Lonchura striata: one gene and its partners. The protein of the gene in region 3 purifies or fractionates together with the protein of the main gene of each other region. This does not show direct contact. Links are inferred from orthologs where the notes say so. Each region holds a gene or a part of one and is shown on either strand. Other genes may lie near its edges. The genes, in order: EEF1B2, VARS1, EEF1A2 and EEF1G.

Region 1 (7,512 bases), on a different chromosome or scaffold from region 3:
TAAGTCCTGTAGCTTTTAAAACCTGTATTTGAATCTTAACTAGGCCACTGAACCAATACACCTTTTCAGACCATGCAAAGACACTGAAATACTGCAGTATTGCAGTTCCCCTGTTACAGCTACCTACATTTCATACATCAGCAGTGACCACAAGTCCCACTACTCAGTACTAGCCCACAAACCTGCACTCTCCCCCACACCCTGCTCTGAAATTTCCCCATACTTACAAGATCCCCAGACCAAGCCATCTGCTTGAATGCTTCGAACACACTCCTCTAGTTTGGCCATGTCTGTCTCATCATCCCAAGGTTTCACATCAAGCAAGATTGATGACTTTGCAACAACAGCTGGTTCTAGGGGAAGAAAATCACCATGAAAAGATAGGTATCTTCCAAAAACTCATGAATACACTTGCAAAATGGTTTTACAAGAGCAACTTATCCCATTTCACGAGCAAGAACCTGATGACATTGCTGTGACAGGCCTCTGGTACCAAGGCACATTTCTGAAGTACTGCAGCTGTGTACATCCCAACTTTCAATATGCAGATACATTATGTATACACAGATTTGAGCAGATGACAGTGTTTGTTACATAGGAAGTCCTTCTCAGAACATCTGAGAAGGAGCCTAATGCTGTGTAACAGTTTATTTTCCACAGATGGAATACTGCAACTGCTACAGTTCTGAACAGTTCCAGACCAGTAGCTGTGGAATAACTTGTGTACTGCAGCACTTTCACTAAAATTTTGAAGAAAATCCTTGTAGAAAGCCCAGTCTCTGGAAAGAACAAGCAGGAGTGTATGAACCAGAACAAAAAGCATGTTAACATTCCTATTTGCATTGGGAAGGCTGAGCTCACTGGCAATTCAAGTGAAGCTAATCACTCCTGTCTCATTCCAGTCAAGCTGATCTATTATTACAGTTAATTAGTCTTTCTAGCCATCCTGTTCAAATGCATAAAAATTAACTCCAGTGTAGAAGATTGGAAAGTTCTCGGCACACATACTTTTGGACTTCTTAGATTCATACTGGGCCAGACGCTCTTCCCTCAGTTTCTTTGCTTCTTCACTTTCCTGAAAGACAAATTTGCAGTTACAGAAAAAAGCACCAAACCTCCACATCTCCAAAGCACTACACCAAACTGACTGGCATTTACTCAGATAAAAACAAATCATCACACTTGTCAGCCGAAAGATGGTGATTTTTTGTTTTACTCATCATGTAACCAGCCAAAATTAGACAGCTCATCCCATTCCAGCACCTTATTTTCTAACTTTTGAGTTTTTACCTTCCAAGCTTCCCTATTCTGCAAAGATAGCTACACTTGGGTATTGCAAGTAGGATTATCAAGGTTGGAAACATAAGTAACTCCAACTAGGTCAAGGTGAAAAAATCTGCACACCTTATTTAATTTCTAAAGCGTAACAGGAATAATACAAAAAGGTCACAAGTACCTCCTCATCATCAGATCCAAAAAGGTCAATGTCATCATCATCTTTGCTATCTGTGGCCGCACCTGTTGTATCCTCAACATCAGCAGGACCATATTTTCCCAAAGCCTTCTTTACTCCTGGCAAGCTGAAAGAAAAATGCAGGTATCAGGAACCTCCTCAAACATCAATACAATCACTGCCAGCTTATCAATGCCCGTACAAAGCTATTTATAATGAAAAACTTGTGCTAAAAAGAGTAAAAATCCAGCTTTGCTACTTGAAATCAGAACCTCGTGAAAGCCAGCCCCAACACTCCTGACATGCCAGCTGAGTAATCTGTGAATATGGGATTTGCTGTAGCTCAGAGCTGGTATGATCCTGCCCAACTAAGTACATGGATAAGAAAAGCTTTCTTATTGGAATCCTCTATCTGCACTACATTCTGTCTAGGAGGAATTACCAACTTCATGTACGTGCTTCCCTGGAACTACTTTCACTTGTTTAAAACCTAGTAAGTCACTGAAAACACATTACTGCATGGTAACTGCTATTTTCCCATTTCAGTGCCCTAAACCCTTCCTCTCAACAGGACAAAAAAGTCTAACTTCCTGAATTTACCTTCACTTGCTGCTCATATGGTCCTGTCATCTTAGAATAAGGTCACAGTTGTATTGCTCATGTGAACAGCTGTTACTGAAGCCATAAAATTCGCTTTTGATTTCAGGAACCCTAAGCAGTTTCCAGATACTTTGTGAAACCACTTCAGAATTTCAGTCCCTCTTAGCATTACCAAAGCTTCAGAAACTGATTAGAGACTGAGCTACCCATTTTTGGTAGTTTCCTCCGAAGAGGACTGAGGCTCAGAAGCAGCGTTGCAATACTGACCCTACCTATGCTGTACCTTTTCAGAGGCCTGCAGTCTCCACGGATCTCAATACAGCACCTTTCATGAACACATAAAACCACTAAAGAGAGAAAAGATATACTATTTCCTTTCATATCTACTTTTCTTTCCATGTCCTTCGGTACTGCAATCATTAATTTTGTCCTCCGTACTGACAGAAGATGTCTGCCCTGTTTCTGACACAAAATGCCATGCGGTGCCACTGGAAACCAGTTTTGCTCAAACTGGAAGAAACAAACGCAACAATTTGTAGGCGAGTTCGGGGAGGTATTACAGCTTCGAAGTTTTACTATACCTTGCCTTTTGCTTTTCATACGACTTAATATGATTGTACCACCGGAGAGCATGGCACAGGTCTGCAGGCGGCGGGGCGGCGATCGCTTCGAAGACTGCTATGTCAGCCTGCGAAGGGACGTACCTGCGGAGAGCAAACCGAGTTATCTGCCTTGCTCGAGACTCGCAGGAACACGCGGAGCAGCGGCGGCCGCCGGGCTGACTCAGGGCCCTTGTCCCGCTTGTCTCCGCCAGGCCCGACTCACGCTCTCCGCGCCCAGCACCCTCCCCCGCCGCCTCTCACCCCTCGATGTAGCTCTTGTCGGCCAGGAAGTCATTGAGGACGCGGAGGCCCGCGGCGGACTTCAGGTCGCCGAAGCCCATGGCGGCGGCGCGCGGCCCACACGCTGCGCTGCCCCGACCGCCACTGCCGCGGGAAAGGGCCCGGCCGCGCCTGCGCCGGCCTTATATAGCGCCGGATCCCTCCGCGCACTGCACGCGTGTATCCCTCCGCGAGAGCGAGCCGCGAGGTAGCGCCTCAGGGGTTGACTGCTGCAGCGCAGGGCGGGCAGCGGGCGGGACAGCGGAGGTGCGGGAAAGCGTCGAAGTAATAGAAGTGAGGCTGACTATAAGCGCTAGGAAGGTTTGCGGCATTACACGGCTTTGTAGCACTGTACTGTCGCCACACCCCGCCCTGCTGGCAGAGCGGAAGTTGCCGGAGTTGAGCGAAGAAAGAGGCGGAAAGGGACGGAAACTGCCGAGGGAAGGGCGGCGCGCGTGACGGCGGCCGAAGAGGCTGTGGGCTGGCGGCGGAACTTACGCATGTCATCGTGCCCCTAGCGCTTGCCGGAAACACCCGAAGTGGTTCGCTCCGGAGGTTGCCGAGCGCGGACTGCCCCGTACGGAGATTGCCGAAGGAGGCTCCGGAGGCAGCCGAGGCAGGCGGAGGTCGCGGCGGAAAGGCCCGAGGCCGCCGCCGCGGAGGCCGAGGCGGAGCGCAGCCGTGCCGCGGCGCCGCCGCCGTCCCGCGCCAGGTAACGGCGCTGCCGCCGCTCCGGGCGCCGCCGCTCCCGCTGTCCTTGGCGGGCCGGGGGCTGCCCGGCGGCGGCGCCGCCTCCAAGGTGACCCCCGCCGGGTAGCGCTGCCGCCCGCCGTGCCCTCGGCCCGGGGACGGCGGCACCGGGCCCGCCGCAGCCGAACCGCGCTGCCAGCGGGGCAGCGGCGCCGGGGCTCCGCTGCGGGCGGAGGGGCCGCTCAGAGACGTTCCTGTGTGTGATGTATAGATTGGTAGGATCGTATGTTGCGTTTGAGGGAGGTAACTCGGTGCCCCATAACTGTGCATATAGGTCCGTGCTCTTCTGCGGCTGGTGTAGTTCTTACGCTACCTGTTTTAAACTTGCCAGCAAACATTCGAACTGGTAACAACAGTGCTCTTTTCTCTCGTTCCAAAGCACCATGCTTCGACTGCTTGCTGTCTCCAGGACCTTAGCTGGGGTCACCCAGTCCTCCAGAGTATGTGGTAAGTGTCTGTGGTTTATATCTGGGTCTCTGGAGATAAATGTATGTGCAGTTCATTTACCGGAGGGCACATATGCATACTCGCTTTGCAGGCTAAGGGATACTGTGTTGTGCTCTTGGTAGAATTGGGATTCCGTCAGCCCTCTATAAGGAAAATCAGGAGTAAGGAGTTTTTGTTTTCTTTTTCCATGTCCTTCAGGGCGTACAACTGCAACAGCAGCCAGCAACCAAATAGAGGTGTTTGTGGATGGCCATCCTGTATTGGTGAACCCTGGAACCACAGTCCTGCAGGTGTGGGAAATGACATTCTCAATTTTCTGGGACTTCCCATCTCACTTCTTGGCAGCATGTTCTGTTCCATTCAGCAAAAAGCCACCTGCCTTTACATCTTGCAGTTCTTTAGGGGTGTTTTAACTGACTGTGATGCAATTTCATGTGACAGAAATCCCTGGGGGAATCCAGTGTTTGAAAGAGAAAAATATGCCATGGTTGCTTAAAAGAAGATGCATGCAGCATCAATCCCAGCTGCAAAACTTTATTCAATGCAGTAACAGACTTCAATAAATTCTCATTGAACTTGACCTTGTAGTCTTTCAGAATCTGTACATTTTGTATCTTATTACAGTGTATCTTGGGTAAATGACAGATTGTCTCCTTTCAGTTATTGGTTGTTAGGATTCAGAGTGCTCATGCTTAGCTGCTTTTATTATTCTTGGTGTGGAAAGAAAGGGAACCTGGATCTCCCAACCTGTACAGAGCATTGTTACTTTTCAGGATTAAGTTTCAAGTAAAGATTTTTTTTAAGAAGTCATTAAATGAAGATGTGATATAATGAGTTAGAACATTAAAATATGCAATTTTTTTCTAGATATAGCCCTTGTTCTTTGGATACAAGTTACTAATTTATTTAGGCATTAGAATGTCCCCAGCAGGAACCTAGTGCAAATTTTTCTTAAATGTTGTTTTTTTAAATTAGCTTTTCAGTTTAGATAACATGGTTCTTTTTGGTAGAAAATGTCAGACAAACTAGACCTTGTTAAAGTTTTTTTATTAAATTTGGTGGTATTTCTTCTGGCAGGCATAGCTATAATGCTGTAGCATAGATCCCATTAGTTGTGGGGGGTTTATGCAGGAAAGGCTGTCTTCAGCTGGTCTCTGGAAATCTGTTGGCTCTGTCCTCCTGTCTCTATTTCTGTCGTGTTGTCTTTGAGTTTGGGCTCTGCTGAAGTTTAAGATTGACTCTGCTGGAGTACCTTCATACAGAGGATCTGTGTTGTTGGATTATCAAAAATCATTCTGCTCATGGTGCTCTTTTTAAGTTTTTCAGTTTTTATTGTGATGCACTTTTCTGTAAAGAGTCTGTTTTTTAAAAAGTTATTTGTATTATTAGTGCCCTGTTGCAGAGAATTCTCTGTATTATTGGAGGAAAGAATGAAAGACAGGTCAGTTTTCATTTCCTCAATCACTTATAAAGGTTAGAAAAACTATATTTGTAATTGATATCCTGACTTTTTTTTTTGCTTTGTCACAATTTTTTATTTATGGTCACTTCTTAAGATGAAAGGTCAAGTGCCTTCTATTCTTGAGCATTGACAGTGTTACTCTTTGAAAAGCTGCATGGTGTTTTCTGAGGTGGAACTGAAAAATCTAATTAAGATTTAATTTTCCTCTATTTCTTATTTTTTGATAGGCTTGTGAAAAGGCTGGAGTTCAGATACCTCGTTTTTGTTACCATGATCGTCTCTCTATTGCTGGAAACTGTAGGATGTGTCTTGTGGAAATAGAGAAAGCTCCAAAGGTATTGTTTGTGTTTCACAGGAATTGCAATATGGAATATGCAATATGGAATTCAGTAGGAGTTTTTTGCTGTGCTTGGGCCTAGTTTAAATCTTTTAAGTAATTGTTGGCATTCTCTTGGACATGAGCATTTGATAGCTGTGTGTTTGCTGTTAGATGCATTTTATGCTTTGTAGTTCAAGCTTCAGCCACACATGTTCAGCTGATACTACATAGATAATACACTTCAGATACTGTATGAATTTAACTGTACGATTAGTAACTGCAGGTTCATTGTAAGTAAAGATTGCAGTTAGTTAGTAGTTTATATGTTAATGCATTGATATCTGTTGTGAAATAGTTGATTTCAGGAGCGAACACTGTCTTCAGCAGTACTAAGAAATCTGTGCACATTCTTTTAGGGTTCAGTCTTGGATTACACATTTATACTCACACATAAAATTTTTTAGCTCAACCCAACTTCTATTCCATACTTTGAGCTTTGTATCTCTGGATATGTTGGGTTATCACTAAAGGTGGAAATCATGATGCGATTGAAAAGTAAAAGGGATTTATTTACAGAGCAGGAGTTTTTGTTACTCTTGCAGTAATCTTGAGAAGAATTTTATTCCAAGACTTTATACAGGCTTTGTGCAAATAAGTGTCTTGTAAACGATTCATACTCTGAATTTCAGTTCTAGAGGTTTTCTAGATGTCTGCTGAAACTGTTTGATTTGCCTTGTCTCTATTACAACTGAGATTCTTAATGCTGTAGCTACTCAAATTGAGACTGGAAATTGTAGAATTTTAAAATGTTAATAATTGTAAAATTATTCATAAATAAAGAATTATGAATAAGTCATAACTATTTTAACCTTTTTATATAGCAGATTATTAATGAATATGGCTTCTAGTGATGTTATCAGTTAGACTCTTTTTGTTTTCTTTGCAGACCTCTTTATTTCTATTTATTTATTACAGATACATATGTTAGAATTGGGGGGGAGGAGATGTGGGTTTGTGCCCATCTGAGAAGAAAAATATTTGTTTCATGCTTCCTTTTTATTGTGATTGCAGCCAGTTGCTGCTTGTGCCATGCCAGTTATGAAGGGCTGGAATATACTGACAAACTCTGAGAAGTCCAGGAAAGCAAGGTACCTTTCTTTAGCCTCCTTTGGCTGATTAGGTGTACTGTCTGCTAAGTGATGTTAAGTTGACATTAATTTAATTCTCTGAACCTAACAGAGAGGGTGTAATGGAGTTTCTGCTGGCAAATCACCCATTGGACTGTCCTATCTGTGATCAGGGTGGAGAATGTGATCTACAGGTACAAGATCCAATTAAATTATGTAGACTTATGTATAATGCTGTTGTCTTAGGTGAAATTGTGCTTTCCAGCAGCCTGTGTTCTATTGTCTGTTGTAGGACCAGTCAATGATGTTTGGCAGTGATAGGAGCAGATTTAGAGAGAGCAAACGTGCTGTGGAGGACAAGAACATTGGCCCCTTAGTCAAAACCATCATGACTCGGTGTATACAGTGCACTCGATGCATCAGGTAAAGCTCTTTACTTTCACTGAGCAGAGTACTAAGCAGGCATATTTGTG
Region 2 (7,907 bases), on a different chromosome or scaffold from region 3:
GAGATTTTGGGGTGATCTGGGGGGATTTTGGGGATTTCTGGGAAGGATTTTGGGGAGATTTTTGGGGTTACCTGGGGGGATTTTGGAGCGTTTCTCTCTGTTTTTTGGGGGGATTTCTCTGGGGATTTTTGGGATTTTTTGGGGTGCATCTCAGGAATTTTTGGGGTGTCTGTGGGTGAATTTTGGGGTGTCTGTGGGTGAATTTTGGGGTGCCTTTCCCCCCAGCTCTCGGTGAAGAACTGCTTCATCCACGGCTCCGGGGGCGTTTTTGGGGGGAATCTTTGTTTTTTCGGGGTTTTTGGGGGGATTTCTCGGGGATTTTTGGGGGGATTTCTCTGGGGATTTCTCTGGGGATTTTGGGGATTTTTTGGGATGTGTCTCAGGAATTGTTGGGGTGTCCCCGGGTGAATTTTGGGGTGCCTTTCCCCCCAGCTCTCGGTGAAGAACTGCTTCATCCGCGGCTCCGGGGGCGTTTTTGGGGGAATCTTTGTCTGTTTTTTCAGCGTTTTTGGGGGGATTTCTCTGGGGATTTTTTGGGGTGTATCTCAGGAATTGTTGGGGTGTCCCCGGGTGAATTTTGGGGTGCTCTCCCCCCAGCTCTCGGTGAAGAACTGCTTCATCCGCGGCTCCGGGGGCGTTTTTGGGGGGAATCTTTGTTTTTTCGGGGTTTTTGGGGGGATTTCTCGGGGATTTTTGGGGGGATTTCTCTGGGGGTTTTTGGGGGGATTTCTCTGGGGATTTTGGGGATTTTTTGGGGTGTTTCTCAGGAATTGTTGGGGTGTCCCCGGGTGAATTTTGGGGTGCTCTCCCCCCAGCTCTCGGTGAAGAACTGCTTCATCCGCGGCTCCGTGGTTCGCTACGTGCAGCTGCCGGCCGACGAGGTGGACACGCAGCTGCTGCAGGACGCGGCGCGCAAGGAGGCGCTGCAGCAGAAACAGTGACCCCCAAAACCCGGGGGACCCCCCAAAAATTCTGGGGGACCCCAAAATCCCTCGGGGGAACCTCCCAAAATCTGGGGAACCCCAAAATCCTCACAGGAACCTCCCAAAATCCCCGGGATAAACCAAAATCTTCAGGGATACCCAAACCCCTGGAGGGACTCCCAATTTTGGGGTGACCCCTCCAAAATCTGGGGGGGACCTAAAATCTGGGGAACCCCCCAAAACATCTGGGGAACCCCAAAATCCCTTGGGGGAACTTCCCAAAATCTGGGGAACCCCAAAATCCCCACAGGAACCTCCCAAAATCCCTGTGGATAACCCAAATCCCTGGGGATACCCTAAAAAACCAGGGGGACCACCCCCCAAAATTCCTGGGGACTCCCCAAAAATCTGGGGACCCCAAAATCCCTCGGGGGAACCTTCCAAAATCTGGGGAACCCCAAAATCCCCGAGGGAACCTCCCAAAATTCCCGGGGATGACCCAAAATCTTCGGGGAAACCCAAATCCCCTGGGGGGACTCCCAAATTTGGGGTGACACCCCCAAAATCCCCGAGAGGACCCCAAAATCGCCAGGGATAACCCAAAACCCAGTGGGAACCCCAAAATCCCAGGGGGAACCCCAAAATTCTTCAGGGGAAACCCAAAATCGCCTGGGATAACCCAAATTCCTGGCTGGAGACCCAAATTTAGGGTGACACCCCCAAAATCCCCGGAGGGACCCCAAAATCTTCAGGGGGACCCCAAAATCCCAGGGGGACCCCCAAAATACTCGAGGATTTCCTAAAATCCCCAGGGAACCCCCCGAAAATTTGGGGGAACCCCAAAATCCCCGGGGATAACCCAAAAACTGGGGGGACCCCCCCAAAATCTTTGTGGGGACCCCAAAAATCCGGGGGAACCCCAAAATCTTCAGGGACGCCCTAAAAAAGCAGGGGGACCCCAAAATGCTCGGGAGGAGCCGCAAATTTGGGGTGAAATCCCCAAAATTCGGGGGGGACCCCAAAATTTGGGGGTGCCCCCGGCCCCGTTGCTGAACCCCAATAAATGCCGGCCCCGCCCTGAGCCTGCGAGTGGATTTTGGGGGGATTTTGGGTTTTTTTGGGAGTTTTTGGATCATTTTAGGGGTTTTTGGGGTGATTTTGGGGGGTTGGGGTGATTTTGGGGGGTTGGGGTGATTTTGGGGGTTTTGGGAGGATTTTGGGGGTTTTTGGGGTGATTTTGGGGTTTTTTGGAGGATTTTCAGTCTCTTTTCGGGCTGTTTTTGGGGGGATTTTCAGGCTATTTTTGGGGGGGGTTTCAGGCTGTTTTTGGGGCATTTTTGGGTTGTTTTTGGGCTGTTTTTGGGAGGATTTTCGGGCTGATTTCGCTGTAGTTTTGGGGATTTTCGGGCTGGTTTTTGGAGGATTTTCAGGCTCTTTTTGGGCTGTTTTTGGGGGATTTTCGGGCTGTTTTTTGGGGGATTTTCAGGCTCTTTTCGGGCTGTTTTTTGGGGGATTTTCAGGCTCTTTTCGGGCTGTTTTGGGGGGATTTTCGGGCTGGTTTCGGGCCGTTTTGGGCGTTTTTTTGGGGTCCCTTTGGCGCGGCGCAGCCTTGGCACCTCCCGGCCGCCAGGGGGCGCCGCGCTCCCCCCGCCCCTCCCGGCGCCAACCGGAAGTTGCGTCATTCGCGCGCGTCCTGCGCATGCGCCCCGCGCGCCGCCCCACGTGGCTCCTCCCGCCGCCGCCGCCGCCGCCGCAGGTACCGGGGAGGGGGGGCCACGTGACCCCCCAAATCCACCCAAAATCCCCCCAAAATCCACCCAAAAATCCCCAAAAAATCCCCCTGAAAAACCCGGCACCCACAGCCCCCGGTACCGGCCCTCAGCCACCCCCGGGATCCCACCCGGGACCCCCAAAACCCCCCGGGACCCCCAAAATCCCACCCGGGATCCCCAAAACCCCCCGGGACCCCCAAAAACCCACCCGGGACCCCCAGAAACCCCCCGGGACCCCAAAATCCCACCCAGGACCCCCAAAATCCCACCCGGGACCCCCAAAATCCCACCCGGGACCCCCAAAATCCCACCCGCGATCCCCAAAATCCCACCCGCGACCCCCAAAAACCCACCCGCGACCCCCAAAATCCCACCCGGGATCCCCAAAAACTCACCCGGGACCCCCCAAACCCCCACGGGACGCCTAAAAACCCACCCGGGACCCCCAAAAACCCACCCGGGAACCCTAAAAACCCACCCGGGACCCCCAAAATCCCACCCGGGACCCCCCAATCCCCTCCCGACCCCGGTGCCCCCGGGAGCCCGGCTTTCTTCCCGGTTTTACCCAATTTTTTCCATCTTTTCCCTGTTTTCCCCAATTTTCTCTCCATTTTCTCCCTTTTTTCTCCCACTTTCCCCCAATTTTTTCCCTGCTTTTACCGATTTTTCTTCTTTTTTCTCTCCATTTCTCCCCTTTTCCCACAATTTTCCTCCCAATTTTCACCCAATTTTCTCTCTTTTCCCCCCTAATTTTTACCTAATTTTCTTCCTTTTATCTGCCCATTTCCCCCAATTCTCCCCTAATTTCTCCCCCTATATTCACCGAATTTCACGCGATTTTTACCCAATTTCACCCAATTTCCTCCCTCATTTTTCCCCATTTTTACCCAATTTCCTCCCCCATTCCCTCTCATTTCCCCCCATTTTCCCCCACTTTTCACCAATTTCCCCCCATTTCCCCCTAATTTTCCCCCAAAATCTCCCCCAATCTCCCCCCCATTTTTTCCCCAATTTCTCCCCTTTTCCTCCATTTTTCTCCCACTTTCCCCCCATTTCCCCCGATTTCCCCCCATTTCCCCCAATTTCTCTTCATTTCCCCCAATTTCCCCCCAATTTTCACCAAATCCCCCCGTTTCCCCCCAATTTCCCCCAATCCCCCCAATTTTCACCAATCCCCCCGTTTTTCCCCCCAATCCCCCCAATTCCCCCAACCCCCCAATTTTCACCAATCCCCCAATTTTCCCCAATCCCCCCAATTTCCCCCAAACCCCCAATTTTCACCAATCCCCCCAATTTTCCCCCAATCCCCCCAATTTTCACCAATCCCCCCAATTTTCCCCCAATCCCCCCAATTTCCCCCAATCCCCCCAATTTTCACCAATCCCCCCGTTTTTCCCCCCATTCCCCCAATCCCCCCCAATTTTCCCCCAAACCCCCCAATTTTCACCAATCCCCAATTCCCCCAACCCCGCAATTTTCACTAATCCCCCAATTCCCCCAAACCCCCCAATTTTCACCAATCCCCCCGTTTTCCCCCCAATTTTCACCAATCCCCCCAATTTTCACCAATCCCCCATTCCCCAATCCCCCCAATTTTCACCAATCCCCCCGTTTTCCCCCACAATCCCCCCAATTCCCCCAACCCCCCAATTTTCACCAACCCCCCAATTCCCCCAATCCCCCCCAATTTCCCCCAATCCCCCAATTCCCCCAATCCCCCCAATTTTCACCAATCCCCCGTTTTCCCCCCATTCCCCCAATCCCCCCAATTCCCCAAACCCCCCAATTCCCCCAATCCCCCCCAATTTTCCCCAATCCCCCAATTTCCCCCAAACCCCCCGTTTTTCCCCCCAATCCCCCAATTTCCCCCAATTTCCCCCCAATTTTCACCACTCCCCCCGTTTTCCCCCCATTCCCCAAACCCCCCAATTTCCCCCAATCCCCCCAATTTTCACCAATCCCCCCGTTTTCCCCCAATTTTCACCAATCCCCCCGTTTTCCCCCCAATTTCCCCCAATTCCCCCAATTCCCCAAACCCCCCAATTTCCCCCAATTTCCCCCCAATTTTCACCACTCCCCCGTTTTCCCCCCAATTTTCACCACTCCCCCCGTTTTCCCCCCAATTTTCACCACTCCCCCCGTTTTCCCCCAATTTCCCCCCGTTTTCCCCCCAATTTTCACCACTCCCCCGTTTCCCCCAGCCCCATGGCCGCCCCCCCGGTGCTGCTGCTGCCGCCGCCGCCCTCGGGCTCGGCCGCGCTGCGCGTCCTCATCGCCGCCCGCTTCTCCCCGGGCCCCCCGCCCCGCCTGGAGCCCGCGGGCCGGCCGGGGGTCCCGCCGCTGCTGCGGACCCCCGGGGGGGCTCTGCTGGGGCCGGGGGCGGCGGCGCTGCTGCTGAGCCCCCCCGAGCTGCGGGGCCGGGACCCCCCCGAGGCCGCGCTGGTCCGGCAGTGGGTCGCCTTCGCCGAGGGCGACCTGGGCACGGCCGCCGCCCTGGCGCTGGGGGGACCCCCGCGGGTCCGTGGGGAGGGGTCTGCGGGGGTCTGGGGGGGGTTTGGGGGGGGATTTGGGGGAGTACTGGCGGTTTGAGGGGGTATTGGGGGGGTATGAGGGGATTTGGGGGGGGTACGTGGGGATTTGGGGGGTATGAGGGGGTTTGGGGGGGTATTGGGGGGTGTATGAGGGGATTTGGGGGGGGTACAGGGGGGATTTGGGGGGTGTACATGGGGATTTGGGGGGGTATGAGGGGGTTTGGGGGGGTTTTGGGGGGGATTTGGGGGAGTACTGGCGGTTTGAGGGGGTATTGGGGGGGTATGAGGGGATTTGGGGGGGGTACGTGGGGATTTGGGGGGTATGAGGGGGTTTGGCGGGGTATTGCGGGGTGTACATGGGGATTTGGGGGGGTATGAGGGGATTTGGGGGGTCTACGTGGGGATTTGGGGGGGTATGAGGGGGTTTGGGGGGGTATTGGGGGGTGTATGAGGGGATTTGGGGGGTATGAGGGGGTTTGGGGGGGTATTGGGGGGTGTACATGGGGATTTGGGGGGGTATGAGGGGGTTTGAGGGGGTATTGGGGGGGTATGAGGGGATTTGGGGGCTTATGAGGTGGTTTGGGGGGGTATTGGGGGGTGTACATGGGGATTTGGGGGGGATTTGGGGGATTATGAGGGGGTTTGGGGGGTTTGGGGGGATTTGGGGGAGTACTGGCGGTTTGAGGGGGTATTGGGGGGGTATGAAGGGATTTGGGGGGGTCTACGTGGGGATTTGGGGGGTTATGAGGGGGTTTGGGGGGGTATTGGGGGGTGTACATGGGGATTTGGGGGGGTATGAGGGGGTTTGGGGGGGTTTTGGGGGGGATTTGAGGGAGTACTGGCGGTTTGAGGGGGTATTGGGGGGGGTATGAGGGGATTTGGGGGGGTATGAGGGGGGATTTGGGGGTTGTACGTGGGGATTTGGGGGGGATTTGGGGGATTATGAGGGGGTTTGAGGGGGATTTGGGGGGTGTACGTGGGGATTTGGGGGGTATGAGGGGATTTGGGGGGGTTTTGGGGGGGATTTGGGGGAGTACTGGCGGTTTGAGGGGGTATTGGGGGGTATGAGGGGATTTGGGGGGGGTACGTGGGGATTTGGGGGGTTATGAGGGGGTTTGGGGGGGTATTGGGGGGTGTACATGGGGATTTGGGGGGTATGAGGGGGTTTGAGGGGATATTGGGGGGTGTATGTGGGGATTTGGGGGGTATGAGGGGGTTTGGGGGGTATGAGGGGATTTGGGGGGTATTTGGGGTGGTATGAGGGGGTTTGGGGGGCATTTGGGGGGATTTGGGGGGTATGAGGGGGTTTGGGGAGGGTTTGGTGGGTCTCAGAGGGGTTTCAGAGGGGTTTGGGGGGGTATGAGGTGGTTTGGGGGGGATTTGGGGGGTATTGGGGGGTTTCACAGGTGGGATTTGGGGTGTCACAGATGGAATTTGGGGTGTCACAGGTGGGATCTGGGGTGTCACCGGTGGGATCCGGGGTGACATGATGGAATTTGGGGTGTCACCGGTGGAATTTGGGGTGTCACCGGTGGGATCTGGGGTGTCACCGGTGGGATCCGGGGTGACATGATGGAATTTGGGGTGTCACCGGCGGGATCCGGGGGGATCGGTGCTGTCCCTGTGCCGAATTTCGGGGTGCCCCCGTTTCCCCAGGACCGGCCGTGGGGGCTGCAGGAGCTGCGCCGGGGGCTGGGGGCTCTGGAAGCCCACCTGGGCGGGGGGCGGCGCTTCCTGGTGGGCGACGGCGTCACCCTGGCCGACGTCACCGTCACCTGCACCCTGCTGGGGCCCTTCACCCAGGTGGGACCCCAAAAATGGCCCTGGGACCCCAAAATCTCCCTGAGACCCCCAAAATATCCTTGAGACCCCCAGAGTGACCCCCAATGTCCCCTGGCCCCCAATCCCCCCATGACCCCAACCCCCCCCTGACCCCCAAATCCCCCTGACCCCCAATCCCCCACGGTGACCCCCAATCCCCCCCGGTGACTCCCAAACCCCCCCCTGACCCCCAATCCCCCCCCTGACCCCCAATCCCCCCAGTGACCCCCAAATCCCCCCTGACCCCCAGCTGCTGGACCCCCCCAATTCCCCCCTGACCCCCAATCCCCCCAGTGACCCCCAATCCCCCCAGTGACCCCCAATCCCCGTGCCCCCCAGCTGCTGGACCCCCCCAATCCCCCCCGGTGACCCCCAATCCCCCTGACCCCCAATCCCCCCCGGTGACCCCAAACCCCCCGGTGACCCCCCAATCCCCGTGCCCCCCAGCTGCTGGACCCCCCAAACCCCCCAGTGACCCCGAATCCCCCCGGTGACCCCCAATCCCCCCGTGCCCCCCAATCCCCCCAGTGACCCCCAATCCCCCCGTGCCCCCCAATCCCCCCAGTGACCCCCAATCCCCCCAGTGACCCCCCAATCCCCGTGCCCCCCAGCTGCTGGACCCCCCAATCCCCCCGGTGACCCCAAACCCCCCCGTGACCCCCAATCCCCGTGCCCCCCAGCTGCTGGACCCCCCCAAACCCCCCGGTGACCCCCTAGTCCCCGTGCCCCCCAGCTGCTGGACCCCCCAATCCCCCCCGTGACCCCCAAACCCCCCAGTGACCCCCAAACCCCGTGCCCCCCAGCTGCTGGACCCCCCCAAACCCCCCCCGTGACCCCCAATCTCCGTGCCCCCCAGCTGC
Region 3 (7,714 bases):
AAGCTAACAGCCTCCACTCTGTCCACAAACTGCCTTTTTGAGGACAACCACTGCTCTACCCTCCTTGGATCTGCTTTTCCAATGGCTCTTGCATGAGGCCAGGCTGCACTTCTTCCTTTCAAGGACTCAATTTCCTTGCACAGAAAGAAAACAGCAATTTACAGCCATCCCTCTGTCCAGCCCCAGCTTCTCCCTTGTGAGACCAGAGCTTCTGGAGTGACATCTGGGCTGGCATTCCTCGTGGCTGCCATCTGCCCTGCCCAAACCCCCTTCTTCAGAGGAGACCTGCTGCATTTCATAACCACAAACACACAACTGCTTAGTGAGCTGAACACTCACGGGCAGAAACACCCCCAGAGCCAGGCAAATCCAGGCAGGCAGCCTGGAGTGTTCACATCCCAGATCCATACAAATTACCAGCACTGCGGATTATTCCCTCTCCCAGTCACTGTGAGGGCCTCCTGGGGGAAAAAATAAATTCCAGTGGTTATGTCTGGGCAAATGGAAATGTTAGCCTAATTTAAAGAACCAAATGGAAATGTTAGCCTAGGTTAAATAATCAAATGGAAATGGTAGCCTAGATTAAAACACCAAATCTCAGTCCAGGGGCTGTAGAGCTGGGTGTGGTGGAGGTGATGATGATGAAAGGAGTAAGAGGTCCCTGCCATGTTTGTGTGCAGCCTGCCCATCCCTTCTGAGGAAGGAGGTTTCTGTTTTCTTGAGTCATCCTAAATCATTTGATGGTGGCTTACATGGAAGGTGAATCAAGCCTCAAGAAGATGGAGGGGAATTGTTTCAGGGCCGTGGATCTGACACCAGATGGAGGCAGACGAGGTGCTAAACTTCAGCCTCCCTCGGATTTCTCTTGCTCGGGTCTCTGTTATTTTACATTTAAGGGTAAATTTACACTGTGTTTTTTTTGGTTTTTTTTTTGTGAGGGAAGATTATTCCACTCAGGTGTGGAAGTTGAGCTTGATGGTCCCCAGAGCCACACGTGCTCAGTGAAGTCCTCAGCCCCAGGTGCCAGCCAGACCTGGGCACACAGCTGTGGCTTTAACCTCTCGAGGCTGGGGCAAAGTGGCTTAAGGGAGCTGGGATTAGCCAGGTCTGACAGCCCTCTCTCCTCTCCTCTCAGCTCCTGGACTATTTATAGGCCGATGGGCCGTCAGGCTCTATTTCAGTGCAGAACAGGGCACTGCCAAGTTCCCTTCTGCCTGCCTGGGAAAAGGGGTGGAAACAAAAATTCTTTTTATTGGAGAAGGAGAGGAGGCAGGAGAAGCCCATCCCATGCTCACCTGGCAGAGGTGACCAGGATTTATTCCATCCCCATCTTCATTATTAAACTCAGCCATTGCCCCTCTGAGGGCAGTTCCCAGGCTGCCTCAGCCCTTGTGTGAAAAAAAGGCAAAGCACTAAAATATGGATAGAAATAACGAGGGATTTATAAATTTCTCCCTCCTCCAAATTATCACACTTGCTGTCTATCTCCAGCCCGTCCAGAACTATGGTAAATCTTCTATCCCCATCCCAAAACAAGGCTGGGGTAATCTCTTTAAATCCTCTTAGAATCTCCTCCTTGGACGTTTCTTTTTATTTTTCCTGGCACTCAGTGCATTTTATGTTGTGCAAGGAATGCTTCATAAAAACAGAAGATATCTTGCCTATCATATTTCTAAGAAAATACCAGTGAGGTATAATATTCATTAAAAAAGGCCTCCCTTTGAGCACTAATGAGAAGTTAGAAACATTTTTATCCACATGATGATTAAATTTTTAACCATTAGTCTAGGAAGGTAAGAGTATCTTCGTAAAGGTATCTAAATTAGCTGTTGAATTCACTGGAAGGATGGTCTGGGCCATAAAATTGTTCTGGGTTATTTCATAGCTTTAGTCAAATTAGCTTCCTTTTTACCTATATTTGGCTTTGGGACACAGAAAATTTTGGATTGGCCTTGGAAATGCACAGCTGACACAGACATAAATATTCTGACCACTACATATTATTTTTTTGTGCAAAGAAAATGTCATTATATTACTGAAGGTTTATGGTTTCCTTGTCCTCCTAGGACCTGAGCCCCACTTCCCATTAAAAATGAGATGATGTTTTTAAATCACAAATTCTTGAGCAGCCCCCATATGTGCTGCAGGTGCAGAAATCTGTTTTCTGTGCTTGTCCCTTGCTTAGTCACTTGCTCCTGGACTGATGCATCCCAGCGAGGCAGAGATGTGGGGCAGTGCCCTCAGGGTCTCCCAGGGTCCTGTTTGTGCCCTGCAGGGACTCCTCTCCTCCCCGCCCCTGTGGGAGCACAGCCCTTCTGCACCACTGGGGACAGAGATGTGGGATTTGGTGGCCCATCCAAAGCCAGCCCTGTCCCCTCACTCCCAGACTGCCACAGGGAGTCCAAGTCCCCCTGGGCCAGCACTTCCATCATTTCCCCATCTTCCAAACAGCCCTTCCCTCCATTTATCTGTCTTCCTCCCAACCCTCTGTCTCTAGTCTCTCCATCTCCTCCATCCCATCTCCTTCTCATATCTTCATCATCCCTCTCTCCTGTTTCTCCATCTTTTATCCTTCCATCTTTCCCCCATTCCTCTCTCTTCCATTCTGCTGTTTCCCTCTGATTTCAGTCTTCCATTTCTCCATCTTCCCATCCCTCCATTTTCCACCCCTCTGCCTCTCCATTTCTCCTCCATTTTCCCCATCCTTGCATCCTTCTGCCTTCAATCTCTCCACCTCCCTCTCATGCCTTCATCTTCCATGGCTCCTGTCTCTCCATCTTTCCTCCTTCCACCTTCCTCCCATCTCTCCACCTTCCATCTTGCCGTCTCCCTCTGACTTCAGCCTTCCATCCTTTCACCTTCCCATCCCTCTATCACCCCCCCTCCACCTCTCCATTTTCCCCATCCCTCCATCTTCCTCCCATCCCTTTATCTCCCATCCTTTTACCTCCTTCCCATCCCTACACATTCCCTCCCAGTCCCCCGTCTCTCCCGCCTCTCCCTCCTCCTCCTCGTCGTCCTCCTCCTCTCCCCGTCCCCCCCGCGCCTCCTCCTCCTCCTCCTCCTCCTCCTCCTCCCCCGCCCGGTACCGCATTGCCGTAGTGCGGGGGGGCCGCTGCATTGCGCTGCCGCCGTCGATAGGAGGGCCCCTCCCGCGGAGATAAAGCCGGCGGAGCCCAAGCCGGCAGCCTCTGGCCGCCCCGACCGCCGCCCCGGTAAGAGCTGCGGGACCCCGGCGGGATGGGGGGACAGGGGGATGCGGGAGGGGTGTCCTGCCCCAGGGGATCAGTGCCCCCCTCCCGTGTGTGGGTGCTGTCAGCCCCTCCGGGGTGCGGGGTACCCCGCGGAGGGAAAGGATGGGGCTGGACCATTCCTTCATCCCGCAGGTGCGTCTTTGGCGCAGGTGGGAAATAACACGCAAGCCGTGGTGCTTCAGGACGTGAAAATCCTTCTAAATGTCGTGCACGAGGAGGAAAACCTGATAATCCCCCCAGCTCCCCCCTCCCCCCACCCTGCCTTTAGAATCATAGAATCCTCGAATGATTTGGCTCGGAAGGACCTTAAAGATCATCTCGTTCCAATCCCCCGGCCATGGGCAGGGATGTCTTTGGCTCCTTGGGGAAGGAATAATAAAAAAACAAATCCCCAATTCCCAAAGCGATCCAGCATCTCCCGCTGTGTGCCAGGGGTCTGCAGGGCAGGATTGGGTCCGGGTGCGAGTCCGGGACCGAGCATCTCAGTGGAGCAAAATGGCCAGACCCGGGCTGGCGGGGTTCAAGGGCAGGAGGGACGGGCCAGCCGCCGCTCCTGCTGCCCGGGGAAGCTTCTCGCTGGGAATGTTACCACCCGCATGACTGCATCGCTATTAGAGCAGCAAACTCCTCCTGACCTCCTTCACTTCTACGGGCAGATTCGTGAAATTGGATTTTATTAGACGTCAGATTAAAGCTCCTAATTGTGCCCGGTTCGTGTGCAGCTGCAGAGCCATGGCAACGCCGGGAGATGCCAGGACAGCTCCCCGGATATATCCGTTTGCGTTTTTAGCCTCCTCCCTCTCTTCCATCCAGTTTCACGGCAGCAAAATATAATAAACCCCGCAAAGTGCAGGCTCAGAGGAGCCCTGGGCAGCCCCGCTGTTGCAGCCCTGCTTGGGGGAGCAGGCGAGGGCTATTTTTGTCCACCCCGTTTTGCAGACACTCTGTTGTCACCTGAACTGTGCCCAGCTGGGGAGTGGTGAGGGCAGCCCGGGAGGACGGGCACCCTCGGCTCCTCCCAGGGCACCCACGACATGGAGGAGATGCCCTCGGCTTTGGAAAGAGCGAGAAGGCAGCGGGAGCAGCCCTGAGTCGCGGGGAGGTTTTCCAGGGAGGTTTTCCAGGGAGGAAGGGCACCTTCGAAGCATCCATGACGTAGCCCTGGGAACTGGGGGTCTCCGCGAGGGAGGTGGAGGGCAAGATGCCGAAAAAACCACGAAAAACACGGCGTCTTGCCGAGAATTGGAGGCTGGACGTGGCAGCCCGAAATAGCCCGGCTGGCTCTGACCCAGTGCGGGCAGAGCTGCCAGACGAGGCCGGGCACCCCCGGGCGAGTGGTCCAGCGGGAAGGTGGGGCGAGGGGAGGACAGACTTTCCCCAAGGGCTGGGAGGGGATTGGCACAGGGGGGCTCTTTTGACGCTCCCGACTCTTCCCCCTCAGCCTCCCCCAAAAGGCAGCTGCGTTCCCACCGCCCTCCCCAGCGCCGCCCGCCCCGGCCAGCCCCGCGTAGCCCAGCAGCATGGGGAAGGAGAAGACGCACATCAACATCGTCGTCATCGGGCATGTGGACTCTGGGAAATCCACCACCACCGGGCACCTCATCTACAAATGCGGGGGCATCGACAAACGGACCATTGAGAAATTTGAGAAGGAAGCTGCCGAGGTGAGGAGCCTGTCCCCACCCCGCATTCCCACCCGCGGGGATGCTCCACGCTGGCCCCCGCCAGTATCCCGCAGGCAGTATTCCCCTTTTGCCCGTGCTGCCCTTCTCTTACCTTCCATTTCTCCCTTTGTTCCCATCTATTTTTCTCCCTTTGCACCCCTGGGTCTCCCCGACTTCTCTGGCCTTGGGAAAATGGGCCATTTGGGTGCTCGCCACCCTCTGTTCGGAGCTGGGGGACTCCCTGCTGCCCGCTGGTAACCAGGGCAGGGGCACGGCGAGGTCTGCAAGATGGGTCAGGGAACCAGCAGGAATCACTAGAATCCTGGAAAAGCCACAAACCATGGTGCTTCAAGGCATGAAATTCTTTCTAAATATGGTGCGTGAGGGGGGAAAACCTGATAATCCCTCACTGCATAGGTCAGGGCTGTCTGAATTTCACTCTGAAGCATCAGTTTCCAGTGCCTGCTGGGACAAGGTGCAGCATCAGCTGGACTCATTTGATCCAGCTGAAAAACCTCATTCCCTTTTTCCTCAGGCAGGTGGTCTGGTGTGTAGTGTGATTGGCAACCTATGATACAGAAAACTGTCTGTAAATCTGAGCATTTAAGTTAAATTCTTTTGTTTAACCCTTGCAATGGTGACATTTATAACAATTTTATCGTGCATGCATTTAGAAGCTGTCGCACAGCAAAGCACCACCCGATACCTGTAATGTGGCAAACCCCAGGATTAATCAGGAAGAAACAGGCTTGGGAAGAAAAATGTCAATTGGGAGTGCAGAGAAATTAATGATGGTAAATTCTAGAGAGGCGGGTGAGCTGGGAACAGCCTGGCTGTGTTATCCACAGGGCAGCTCCTGTCACTCAGAAGATGGCTTGTCGTCATCGCTCTGGAAATGCAGATATCCCTCTTTTTTTTTTTTTTTCCATTTATTTTTCTGGTCAAAATCACACATTTCATTGACAAGAAAGAAAAAACAAAAGAGATTTACAGAGCTGCCACTTTTAATTTCATGTTTTGCTGTCTGTCTTGACCTTTTTAACTTGCCGATAGTATCTGAGCTAAATCCCTTATTTTCCTGCCTCACTTTCAGCCTTTTTTTGCATCCTTAAGGAAAGGAGCCTCTTCCTTCATACAAAATTACCCTTCTCCCCTGGATTAAAATGGTTGCCGATATCCTTCCACAAATTCCCCCCTTTACCCATAAGATCAGATAAGGCATGATAAGGTTATCGTTGATGTGATTGCAGTGATTTTAATTGCACAGGCACTTTCACTGACTTGCCAGGATCCGCGGGCACCGGAGGCTGCTATTAATAGCCTATTGACTGAGCTTACAGACTCCATTTTCTGATGCAGGGCTGGGGAAGGGTTTGCTTCCATTAGGTGGCATTCACAGGAAATGGAGGCCTGCGTGCACCCAAAAGGCCAACAAAAAAACTCCAGGGTCTGTTATTTTATTTAAGAGAAAAGAGCGAGGATTTCTCTCTTTTTTCCCCCCTTTTGATTCAAGGGCAGAGGTAACAGTATCTCTGAAAGAAGAGTTGTTCTGTTTTAAAAAAAAAAATTAAATAATCAGTATTTGTGGCCTCCAAATAGAAAGCTGTCCCTCCACTGGGGTTTGATCAGGGAAATTCAGGCTATTTCTGGCACTGAACAGGGAAGGTATTGTGCAGAGCTAGATAATACCCTGGGTTTTTCAACACCAGCCCTGGGTAACTGAATACACCCTGTGAAAGGAGGGAAACTGTTTGCTGAATAAAGGATCTCATTTGTCTTCACGTTACGTGTGATGCCGAGCTCTGAGGGGGTCTCACACGTGATGAGCAGCTGGCTGTGTGTGTGGACATGGCCAATGGCAGGAAGGTGCTGATTCCCACTCAGCTGCTGTGGGAGAGCCAGGGCTCTGCTCTGTGCCTCAGTTTCCCCATCCAGAAGGGAGGCAGTAGGCTGCTGATGAGGGAGAGGCTGTGGGATGTGCTGATTGACCTCCTGCCCAAGAAAAGCCCATAATTAATGCAATGCACAAATGCACCATTCCCTGCTGGGTCTCCATTTCCAGCAGCACACTCTGCTGACTGCTCCCTGTTCTCTGGGAAGGGGGAGTTTGATGTGCGTGCTGGAAAGGGTTAACCTGATCCTATCCCTGGAAGTGTTCAAGGCCAAGCTGGACAGAATTTGGAGCAACCTGGTCTAGCAGAAGGTGCCCCTGTCCATGGCAGAAGGGTTGGAATGAGCCGATCTTTGAGGTCTTTTCCAACCCAAACCATTTTGTGATTCTAAAAACCTCCAAGCTCCTCCCATCCCCCCTGGCCATCCAGTGTCAGGAAGATGCTCAGGAGCAGAGTCTTGGTTCTGGATTTTTCCATGCCAGTGAGAGCTCACAGCTGCCCAGCAGAGATTGGGCATCACCTCCTCGACCTGGCGTCCCCTCTGAGGAGGGGAAATCTTACCCCTGGCTTTAGGATTTTGCCCTTAATCCTCCGGAGCAAGCTGCAAAGTCATCGCACCACTCAGCTGTTATGAAACAGGCTGTCACCATTAATTCCTTGTGCTGGCTGGGAACAGGGCTGGAGTGTGGGAGATGGAGCAGAGCAGCAGACCAGCCCCTGGGCATGGTGTGGGCAAGGTTTGGATGTGATTCTGTGTTCTCTTTCTTGGGGGGGCTCATCACTGATGAGTACCTGCCACTGGGGGCTGCTTCCCTCCGACCTGTGATTGATAATGGGCCAGAAGAAACTGTGATTGCAGGGAAAAGAGGGATGGATGGATGGATGGATGGATGGAAGCAGGGTA
Region 4 (7,674 bases), on a different chromosome or scaffold from region 3:
TGCACCGGCAAGTGAGCGCGGGACCGGGGGAACCGGGGCGGGAGTAGCGGAACCGGCACCGAAATCCGCAAAACGGCAAAAAAATCCCGAAAAACGGCACAAAAATCCCCAAAAACGGCACCAAAATCCCCAAAAACGGCACAAAAATCCCCCAAAACGGCACAAGAATCCCCAAAAACGGCACCGAAATCCGCAAAAAACGGCACCAAAATCCCTAAAACAGCAAAAAAATCCCCAAAAACGGCCCCGAAATCCCCCAAAAAGGCCCCGGGAAAAACGCCCAACAAACCCCAAATAAATCCCAATAAATCGCAATCAATCAATCAAAATTAAATTAATTAACTGACATTAACCCCGTCTCTCGGGGGCAGCTTCGCTGTTGGCACCGGGGTGGTCCAGACCCCAATAAACCCCAATAAATCAATGATAAATCCCAATAAAACCCCAATAAATCAATGATAACCCCCAATAAAACCACAATAAATCCCCCGATGAGCACTAATTCATTAATTAATGGTTGTTAATTACAGGTACGGGTTCGTTATCGCGGTGACCACCATCGACAACGTGGGCGCGGGGGTGATCCAGACCCCGATAAACCCCAATAAACCCCAATCAATCAATGATAAATCCCAATAAACCCCAGTAAATCAATGATAAATCCCAATAAACCCCCATAAATCAGTGATAAATCCCCCAATGAGCACTAATTCATTAATTAACGGTTGTTAATTACAGATACGGGTTCGTTATCGCCGTCACCACCATCGACAACGTGGGCACGGGGGTGATCCAGACCCCGATAAACCCCAATAAACCCCAATAAATCAATGATAAATCCCAATAAACCCCAATAAATCAATGATAACCCCCAATAAAACCACAATAAATCCCCCGATGAGCACTAATTCATTAATTAACGGTTGTTAATTACAGATACGGGTTCGTTATCGCGGTGACCACCATCGACAACGTGGGCGCGGGGGTGATCCAGCCGGGCCGCGGCTTCGTGCTCTACCCCGTGCGCTACAAGGCCATCGTCTTCCGGCCCTTCAAGGGCGAGGTGGTGGACGCCGTGGTCACCCAGGTCAACAAGGTCAGGGGTCACCGGGGGTCAGGGGTCACGCGGGGGTCAGGGGTCACCCGGGGGTCACCCAGGCCGGCAAGGCCCGGCCTCCCCTTCTGTCGTTTTCTGTCTCGTTTTTATTAATTTCTGGTTTTTTTGGTCCCTTTCTGGGCCTTTTTCTCCTGGTTCTGCCCCGTTTGAATCCATTTTTATCCATTTTTATCCATTTTAATCCCTGTTTGCCCAATTTATCCCTTTTTATCCATTTTTGCCCATTTCATTCCTTCCTTTTTATCCATCTTCATCCCATTTTTCTCCCACTTTTATCCATTGTTATCCATTTTTATTTGTTTTTGCCCATTTTATCCTTTTTTATCCATTTTTATCCGTTTTTGCCCATTTTATTCCTTTTTATCCATCTTCATCCCATTTTTCTCCCACTTTTATCCATTGTTATCCATTTTTATTTGTTTTTGCCCATTTTATCCCTTTTTATCAATTTTTATCAATTTTTGCCGATTTTATTAATTTTTATCCATTTTTACCACATTTTTGCCCCATTTTTCCCATTTTTTCTCCCTTTTTCCCCATTTTCCCCATTTTCCCCCTTTCCCCCCATTTTTCCCCATTTTTGCCTTGTTTTTTCCCCGTTTTTGCCCCTTTTTCCCCCTTTTTTCCCCACTTTGCCCATTTTTGCCCTGTTTTTATCCCTTTTCCCCCACTTTTCCCTGTTTCTGCCCAATTTTTCCCACTTTTCCCCATTTTTCTCCACTTTTGCCCATTTTTGCCCATTTTTGCCCCGTTTTCCCGTCCCCAGGTGGGGCTGTTCACCGAGATCGGGCCGATGTCCTGCTTCATCTCCCGCCACGTGAGAGGGGGACGGGACCCCAAAAATGGCCAAAAGGGGGGAGGGGACCCCAAAAATGGCCCAGAGGGGGGAGGGGACCCCAAAAATGGCCAAAAGGGGGGAAAGGACCCCAAAAATGGCCAAAAAGGGGGAGGGGACCCCAAAAATGGCCCAGAGGGGGGAGGGGACCCCAAAATGGCCAAAAGGGGGGAGGGGACCCCAAAAATGGCCAAAAAGGGGGAGGGGACCCCAAAAATGGCCCAAAGGGGAAAGGGACCCCAAAAATGGCCAAAAGGGGGGAGGGGACCCCAAAAATGGCCAAAAGGGGGGAGGGGACCCCAAAAATGGCCCAGAGGGGGGAGGGGACCCCAAAAATGGCCCAAAGGGGAAAGGGACCCCGAAAATGGCCAAAAGGGGGGAGGGGACCCCAAAAATGGCCAAAAGGGGGGAGGGGACCCCAAAATGCCCCTTGGGGCTCTCCCTGACCCCTCAACCCCCCCTCCCACCATTTCCCACCCAAATTTTCCCCTGGGGACCCCAAATCTGCCCCAAATCCCCTTGGGGACCCCAAATCTGCCCCAGGGGACCCCAAATTTTGCCCCGGGGACCCCAAATCTGCCCCCCTGTCCCCCCAGTCCATCCCCTCCGAGATGGAATTCGACCCCAACTCCAACCCCCCCTGCTACAAAACCGTGGACGAGGTGAGGGGGGGTTTGGGGGATTTTGGGGGGTCCTGAGGGAAATTTGGGGGTCTTGGGGGGGTCCTTGGGGGTTTTGGGGGGACTTTGGGTGTCCTGGGGGGAATTTGGGGGGGGATCCTGGGGGGATCCTGGGGGATCCTGGGGGGATCCTGTGGAATTTGGAGTCCTGAGGGGTCTGGGGGCGTCCTGGGGGGAATTTCGGGGGTCCTGGGGAGAATTTGGGGGGTCCCGGGGGGATTTGGGGGGTCCCGGGGGGATTTTTGGGGGTCCCGAGGGGATTTTTGGGGGTCCTGGGGGAATTTTGGGGGTCCCGGGGGGATTTGGGGTTCCCGGGGGGATTTTTGGGGGTCCCGGGGGGATTTTTGGGGGTCCTGGGGGGATTTTGGGGTCCTGGGAGGATTCAGGGGGTCCCAGGGGGATTTTTGGGGGTCCTGGGGGGATTTTGGGGGGATTTTGGGGTCCTGGGGGGATTTTTGGGGGTCCCGGGGGGATTTTGGGGGGATTTTGGGGTCCCCACTGTCGCTCCCCCAGGACATCGTGATCCAGCAGGACGACGAGATCCGCCTGAAGATCGTGGGGACGCGCGTGGACAAGAACGACATCGTGAGATTCGGGGGGAAATCCCGGCCTTTCGGGCAAAATCCCAAAATCTGGGGGCAAATCCTGACATTTTGGGGGAAATGCTGAAATTCTGGGAGGAAAATTCCCAAAATTCAGGGGGGAAAACCCAAAAATTTGGGGGGAAAATCCTGAAATTGGGTGGGAATGCTGAAATTCGGGGGGTAAATCCCAAAATTTTGGGGGAATCCTGGGACTTGGTGGGAAATTCTGGGATTTGGGGGAAAATCCCAAAATTCTGCGGGGAAATGTTGGGATTTTTGGTGGGGAAATCCTCAAATCTCGGCACGGGGGGAGAATCCACAAATCCAGGGAGATATTCCCAAATTTGGGGGAAATTCCCAACATTTGGGGGCAAAATCCCAAAATCTGGGGGGAAATGCTCGAAATTCAGGGGGGAAATCCAAAAATTCAGGGGGGAACCAAATATTTGGGGGAAAATCTCAACATTTGGGGGAAAATCCCTAAAATTTGGGGGGAAATTCTCAAATTTGGGGGGGAAATCCCAAAATTTCAGAGGGAATTCTCAAATGGGGGGGGACATCCCAAATTTTGGGGGGGTCCCAGCTCCGGGGGGGGTCCAGGTCAGCCCCTCCCCCTCCCCTGATCCTTCCCCTCCCCCCCAGTTCGCCATCGGCTCCTTGATGGACGATTACCTGGGTGAGGCGGGGCCGGGATTTGGGGGGATTTGGGGAATTTTGGGGGTCCTGGGGGGATCTGGGGGAATTTTGGGGGTCCCGGGGGGATTCTGGGGGGTCCCGGGGGGATTTGGGGGAGCCCAGGGGGGATTTGGAAGTCCCGGGGCAGTTTGGAGGGTCCCGGGAGGATTCTGGGGAGATTTGGGGGGGATTTTGGGGGTCCCGGGGGGATTTTGGGGAGTCTCAAGGTGGATTTGGGGGGTCCTGGGGGAATTTTGGGAGTCCCGGGTGGGGTTTGGAGGGTCCCGGGAGGATTTTGGGGGGTCTCGGGGTGGATTTTGGGGTCCCTCATCCTTCTCTCCCCCCCCAGGCCTGGTCAGCTGAGCCCCAGGAGCAGCCGCGACCCCTCCCCAATTTCCCCCCCCTTCTCCCAAATTTTGGGAGCCCCACCCCCCCCATCCCCAATTTTGGGGGGTTCTGGCAGCCGGGCCCCTCCCCCAGAGCTGGGGGGGCTCTGTTTTCCCTCAATAAAGGCGTTTTTCCCAATTTTCCGCCTTTTTCTTTTTTTTGGGGGGGGCTCCGGGAATTTTGGGGGGGGTCTTCGCCTCCCTGGGGGGCCCACCGCGCCATCGCCGCTTTAAGGCGCCATCGCCGCTTTAAGGCGCCATCGCCGCTTTAAGGCAGCGTCGCCCCTTTAAGTGCGGTCCCCCCCCGTTGCCACGGCAGCCACCCCGTCCCGCGCTTTACGGCGCCGCGCGTCACTGCCGCGCTCCTCCCACCCAGCCCCGTTTCCGCGCTTTGCGGCCCGGCCCGGCCTTCTCCCCGCGCTCTCCAAGATGGCGGTGTCCGGGGTGAGTGCGGCCGCCGCCGCCATCCGCCGCCATCCTCCTTCCCCCGCCGCCCCGCCGCCTCCCCGCCGCCACCGGGGGAACCGCGGGGCACCGGGGATGCGGCCGGGCCGGCCGCGGAGCCGCGGGGAGGCGGCGGGGGGCGCGGATGGCGGCGGGAAGGGAGGGGGGGAGCCCTGAGGGGAACCGGAGCCGGTGAGGGGGGAGGGCGGCGGGTTGGTGCCACCCTCGGGGACATCTCGGGGACATCTCGGGGACATCTCGGGGACCCCCTGCCCCGATTTTCCCCCAAATCCTGCGCGGGTACCCCAAAACCCGGGGGGTTCCAGGGGCTTCGTCCACATCGGGACCCCCGGGGCGGATTTTGGGGGTCCTGCGTCCCCTCAGTGCCACCCCCCGGTGTCACCCCGGTGTCCCCAAGTTCTGGGGACATCTCGGGGACCCCCTGCCCCGATTTTCCCCCAAATCCCGCGCGGGTACCCCAAAATCGGGGGTTCCAATTGTCCCCCAGTGCCCGCCCCACACCGGGACCCCCGCGGCCACCCCCGTGTCCCAAAACTTGGGGACATTTTGGGGGCATTTTGGGGAGATTTGGGGACACTTTGGGCGCCCTGTGGGGACATTTCAGGGACAATTTAAGAGACGTTTTAGGGACATTTTGGGGCCACTCTGGGGATATTTTGGGCACACTCGAGAGCCACTCTGGGGACACCTTGGGGACCCTTTGGGGACACTTCAAGGGACCTTTTAGGGACACTCTGGGGACCCTTTGGGGATATTTTGGTGACACTTTGGGGACACTTTTGGGATACTCTGGGGACCCTTTGGTGACACACTGGGGACACTCTGGTGACACTTCGGGGACACTCTGGGGACCCTTTGGGGATATTTTGGGGACACTCTGGGGACACCTTGGTGACACCTTGGTGACACTTTGGGGACCCTTTGGGGATATTTTGGGGACACTTTAGTGACACTTTGGGGATATTTTGGGGACCCTTTGGTGACACTCTGGGGACACCCTGGTGACACTCTGGTGACACTTCGGGGACACTCTGGGGACCCTTTGGGAATATTTTGGGGACACTTTAGTGACACTCTGGGGACACTTTCGGGATACTCTGGGGACCCTTTGGTGACACGTTGGTGACACTCTAGGGACCCTTTGGTGACACCCTGGGGACACGTTGGGGACACTCTGGGGACCCTTTGGGGACACCTTGGTGACACTCTGGAGACACCTTGGTGACACTTTGGTGACACTTTGGAGACACCTTGGTGACACTTTGGGGACCCTTTGGTGACACCCTGGGGACCCCCTGGTGACCCTTTGGGGACACTTTGGGGACACTCTGGAGACACCTTGGTGACACCCTGGGGACACCCTGGGGACACTCTGGAGACCCTTTGGGGACACCCTTGGGACACTTTGGGGACACTTTGGTGACACTCTGGTGACACTTTGGGGATATTTTGGTGACACCTTGGTGACACTTTGGGGACCCCCTGGTGACCCCCTGGGGACCCCCGGTGCCTCCCGCAGACGCTGTACACGTACCCCGAGAACTGGCGCGCCTTCAAGGCGCTGATCGCGGCGCAGTACTCGGGCGCGCGGCTGCGCGTGCTCTCGGCGCCGCCGCTCTTCCGCTTCGGCCACACCAACCGCAGCCCCCAGTTCCTGCAGAAGTTCCCGCTCGGGAAGGTCAGTCTGCGCCTGAACAACCCCAGAATTCCCAAAAAATCCCAAAAAAATCCCAAAAAAATCCCAAAAAACTCAAAAATCCCAAGATCTGGGGCCTGGGGTTTGGGGGGTTCAGACCCTGCAGTTCCTGCAGAAGTTCCCACTCGGAAAGGTCAGTCTGAGCCTGAACAATCCCAGAATTCCCAAAAAATCCCAAAAAAATCCCAAAAAACTCAAAAATCCCAAGATCTGGGGTTTGGGGGGTTCAGGCTCCCCAGTTCCTGCAGAAGTTCCCGCTCGGGAAGGTCAATCTGAGCCTGAACAATCCCAGAATTGCCAAAAAAATCCCAAAAATCAAAAAAAAGAAACCCTAAAAAACTCAAAAATCCCAAAAAACTCCCAAACTGTGGGGATTTGGGCGTTTGGCTCAGAATTTGAAGTTTTGTGGGGTTTTTTGGTGGTTTTGGGGTATTTTTGGGCTTTTTTTGAGCTTTGGGGTTTTTTGGTGGGGGGGGGATTTCTTGGGGGATTTTTGGGGATTTTTGTGGGGGTTTTTTGGGATTTTTGGTGGTTTAGGAGTTTTTAGGAGTATTTTCTGGATGTTTTGGGGTTTTGGGGATGTTCTGGGGATTTTTGGGATTTTTTTGAGGTTTGGGGCTTTGGGGGGTATTTCTTGGGGGATTTTTTGGGGATTTTTGTGGGGGTTTTTTGGGATTTTTGGTGGTTTTGGAGTTTTTAGGAGTATTTTCTGGATGTTTTAGGGTTTTGGGGATGTTCTGGGGATTTTTGGGATTTTTTTGGGGTTTTGGGGGGTATTTCTTGGGGGATTTTTTGGGATTTTTGTGGTGTTTTTTGGGATTTTTGGTGATTTTGGGGTTTTTGGGAGTATTTTCTGGATGTTTTTGGGGTTTTTGGGATTTTTTTGAGGTCTGGGTTTTCTCCCCGCAGGTCCCGGCCTTCGAGGGCGACGACGGATTCTGCGTCTTCGAGAGCAACGCCATCGCCTACTACGGTTAATTAGTGCCCTAATTAGCTTAATGAGCTGCTGTGCTCCTCACTGGCTGTGCTCTGCTGCCCTAATTAATTAATTTGTTCGTTGATTGATTGATTGATTGATTGGCTCTTTCCTGGAGCTCATTAATGATCCCCTTTTGCTCATTAACGATTTTTCCTGCCCCTTAATGAGTCCCTCCCCTGATTAACCATTCCCCTGGCTAATTAATTTCCCTGCTGCTAATTAATTACCCTTTTGGGTGATTAATTAACCCTTTCCTG

The links.
Region 1: the proteins of EEF1A2 (region 3) and EEF1B2 purify together in Homo sapiens (co-immunoprecipitation; 4 studies listed by BioGRID and IntAct, counting the BioPlex papers as one, with this or other methods). This does not show direct contact. The link is inferred for Lonchura striata from reciprocal best matches to the Homo sapiens genes EEF1A2 and EEF1B2.
Region 2: the proteins of EEF1A2 (region 3) and VARS1 purify together in Homo sapiens (co-immunoprecipitation; 3 studies listed by BioGRID and IntAct, counting the BioPlex papers as one, with this or other methods). This does not show direct contact. The link is inferred for Lonchura striata from reciprocal best matches to the Homo sapiens genes EEF1A2 and VARS1.
Region 4: the proteins of EEF1A2 (region 3) and EEF1G purify together in Homo sapiens (affinity purification with mass spectrometry; 4 studies listed by BioGRID and IntAct, counting the BioPlex papers as one, with this or other methods). This does not show direct contact. The link is inferred for Lonchura striata from reciprocal best matches to the Homo sapiens genes EEF1A2 and EEF1G.

What each region holds. Positions count from the first base shown.
Region 1 is NC_134610.1:25,893,219-25,900,730, reverse strand, and holds the start of EEF1B2 (elongation factor 1-beta), read right to left. Parts: upstream 3,012-7,512; 5' UTR 2,997-3,011; coding exon 2,917-2,996; intron 2,758-2,916; coding exon 2,635-2,757; intron 1,581-2,634; coding exon 1,457-1,580; intron 1,232-1,456; exon of another isoform or gene 1,152-1,231; intron 1,076-1,151; coding exon 1,009-1,075; intron 716-1,008; exon of another isoform or gene 582-715; intron 354-581; coding exon 228-353; intron 1-227. Other genes in the region: NDUFS1 (NADH-ubiquinone oxidoreductase 75 kDa subunit, mitochondrial), read left to right, coding at 4,068-4,131, 4,330-4,421, 5,821-5,928, 6,984-7,060, 7,152-7,233, 7,332-7,462. UniProt on the Homo sapiens protein: Catalytic subunit of the guanine nucleotide exchange factor (GEF) (eEF1B subcomplex) of the eukaryotic elongation factor 1 complex (eEF1).
Region 2 is NC_134631.1:259,699-267,605, reverse strand, and holds the start of VARS1 (valine--tRNA ligase), read left to right. Parts: upstream 1-4,900; coding exon 4,901-5,026; intron 5,027-5,146; coding exon 5,147-5,212; intron 5,213-6,882; coding exon 6,883-7,071; intron 7,072-7,907. Other genes in the region: U6 snRNA-associated Sm-like protein LSm2, read left to right, coding at 816-941. UniProt on the Homo sapiens protein: Catalyzes the attachment of valine to tRNA(Val).
Region 3 is NC_134619.1:6,370,057-6,377,770, reverse strand, and holds the start of EEF1A2 (elongation factor 1-alpha 2), read left to right. Parts: upstream 1-4,710; 5' UTR 4,711-4,774; coding exon 4,775-4,918; intron 4,919-7,714. UniProt on the Homo sapiens protein: Translation elongation factor that catalyzes the GTP-dependent binding of aminoacyl-tRNA (aa-tRNA) to the A-site of ribosomes during the elongation phase of protein synthesis.
Region 4 is NC_134638.1:103,694-111,367, reverse strand, and holds the start of EEF1G (elongation factor 1-gamma), read left to right. Parts: upstream 1-4,670; 5' UTR 4,671-4,706; coding exon 4,707-4,721; intron 4,722-6,261; coding exon 6,262-6,420; intron 6,421-7,347; coding exon 7,348-7,411; intron 7,412-7,674. Other genes in the region: POLR2G (DNA-directed RNA polymerase II subunit RPB7), read left to right, coding at 1-11, 937-1,096, 1,884-1,934, 2,549-2,614, 3,146-3,217, 3,859-3,892, 4,241-4,254. UniProt on the Homo sapiens protein: Probably plays a role in anchoring the complex to other cellular components.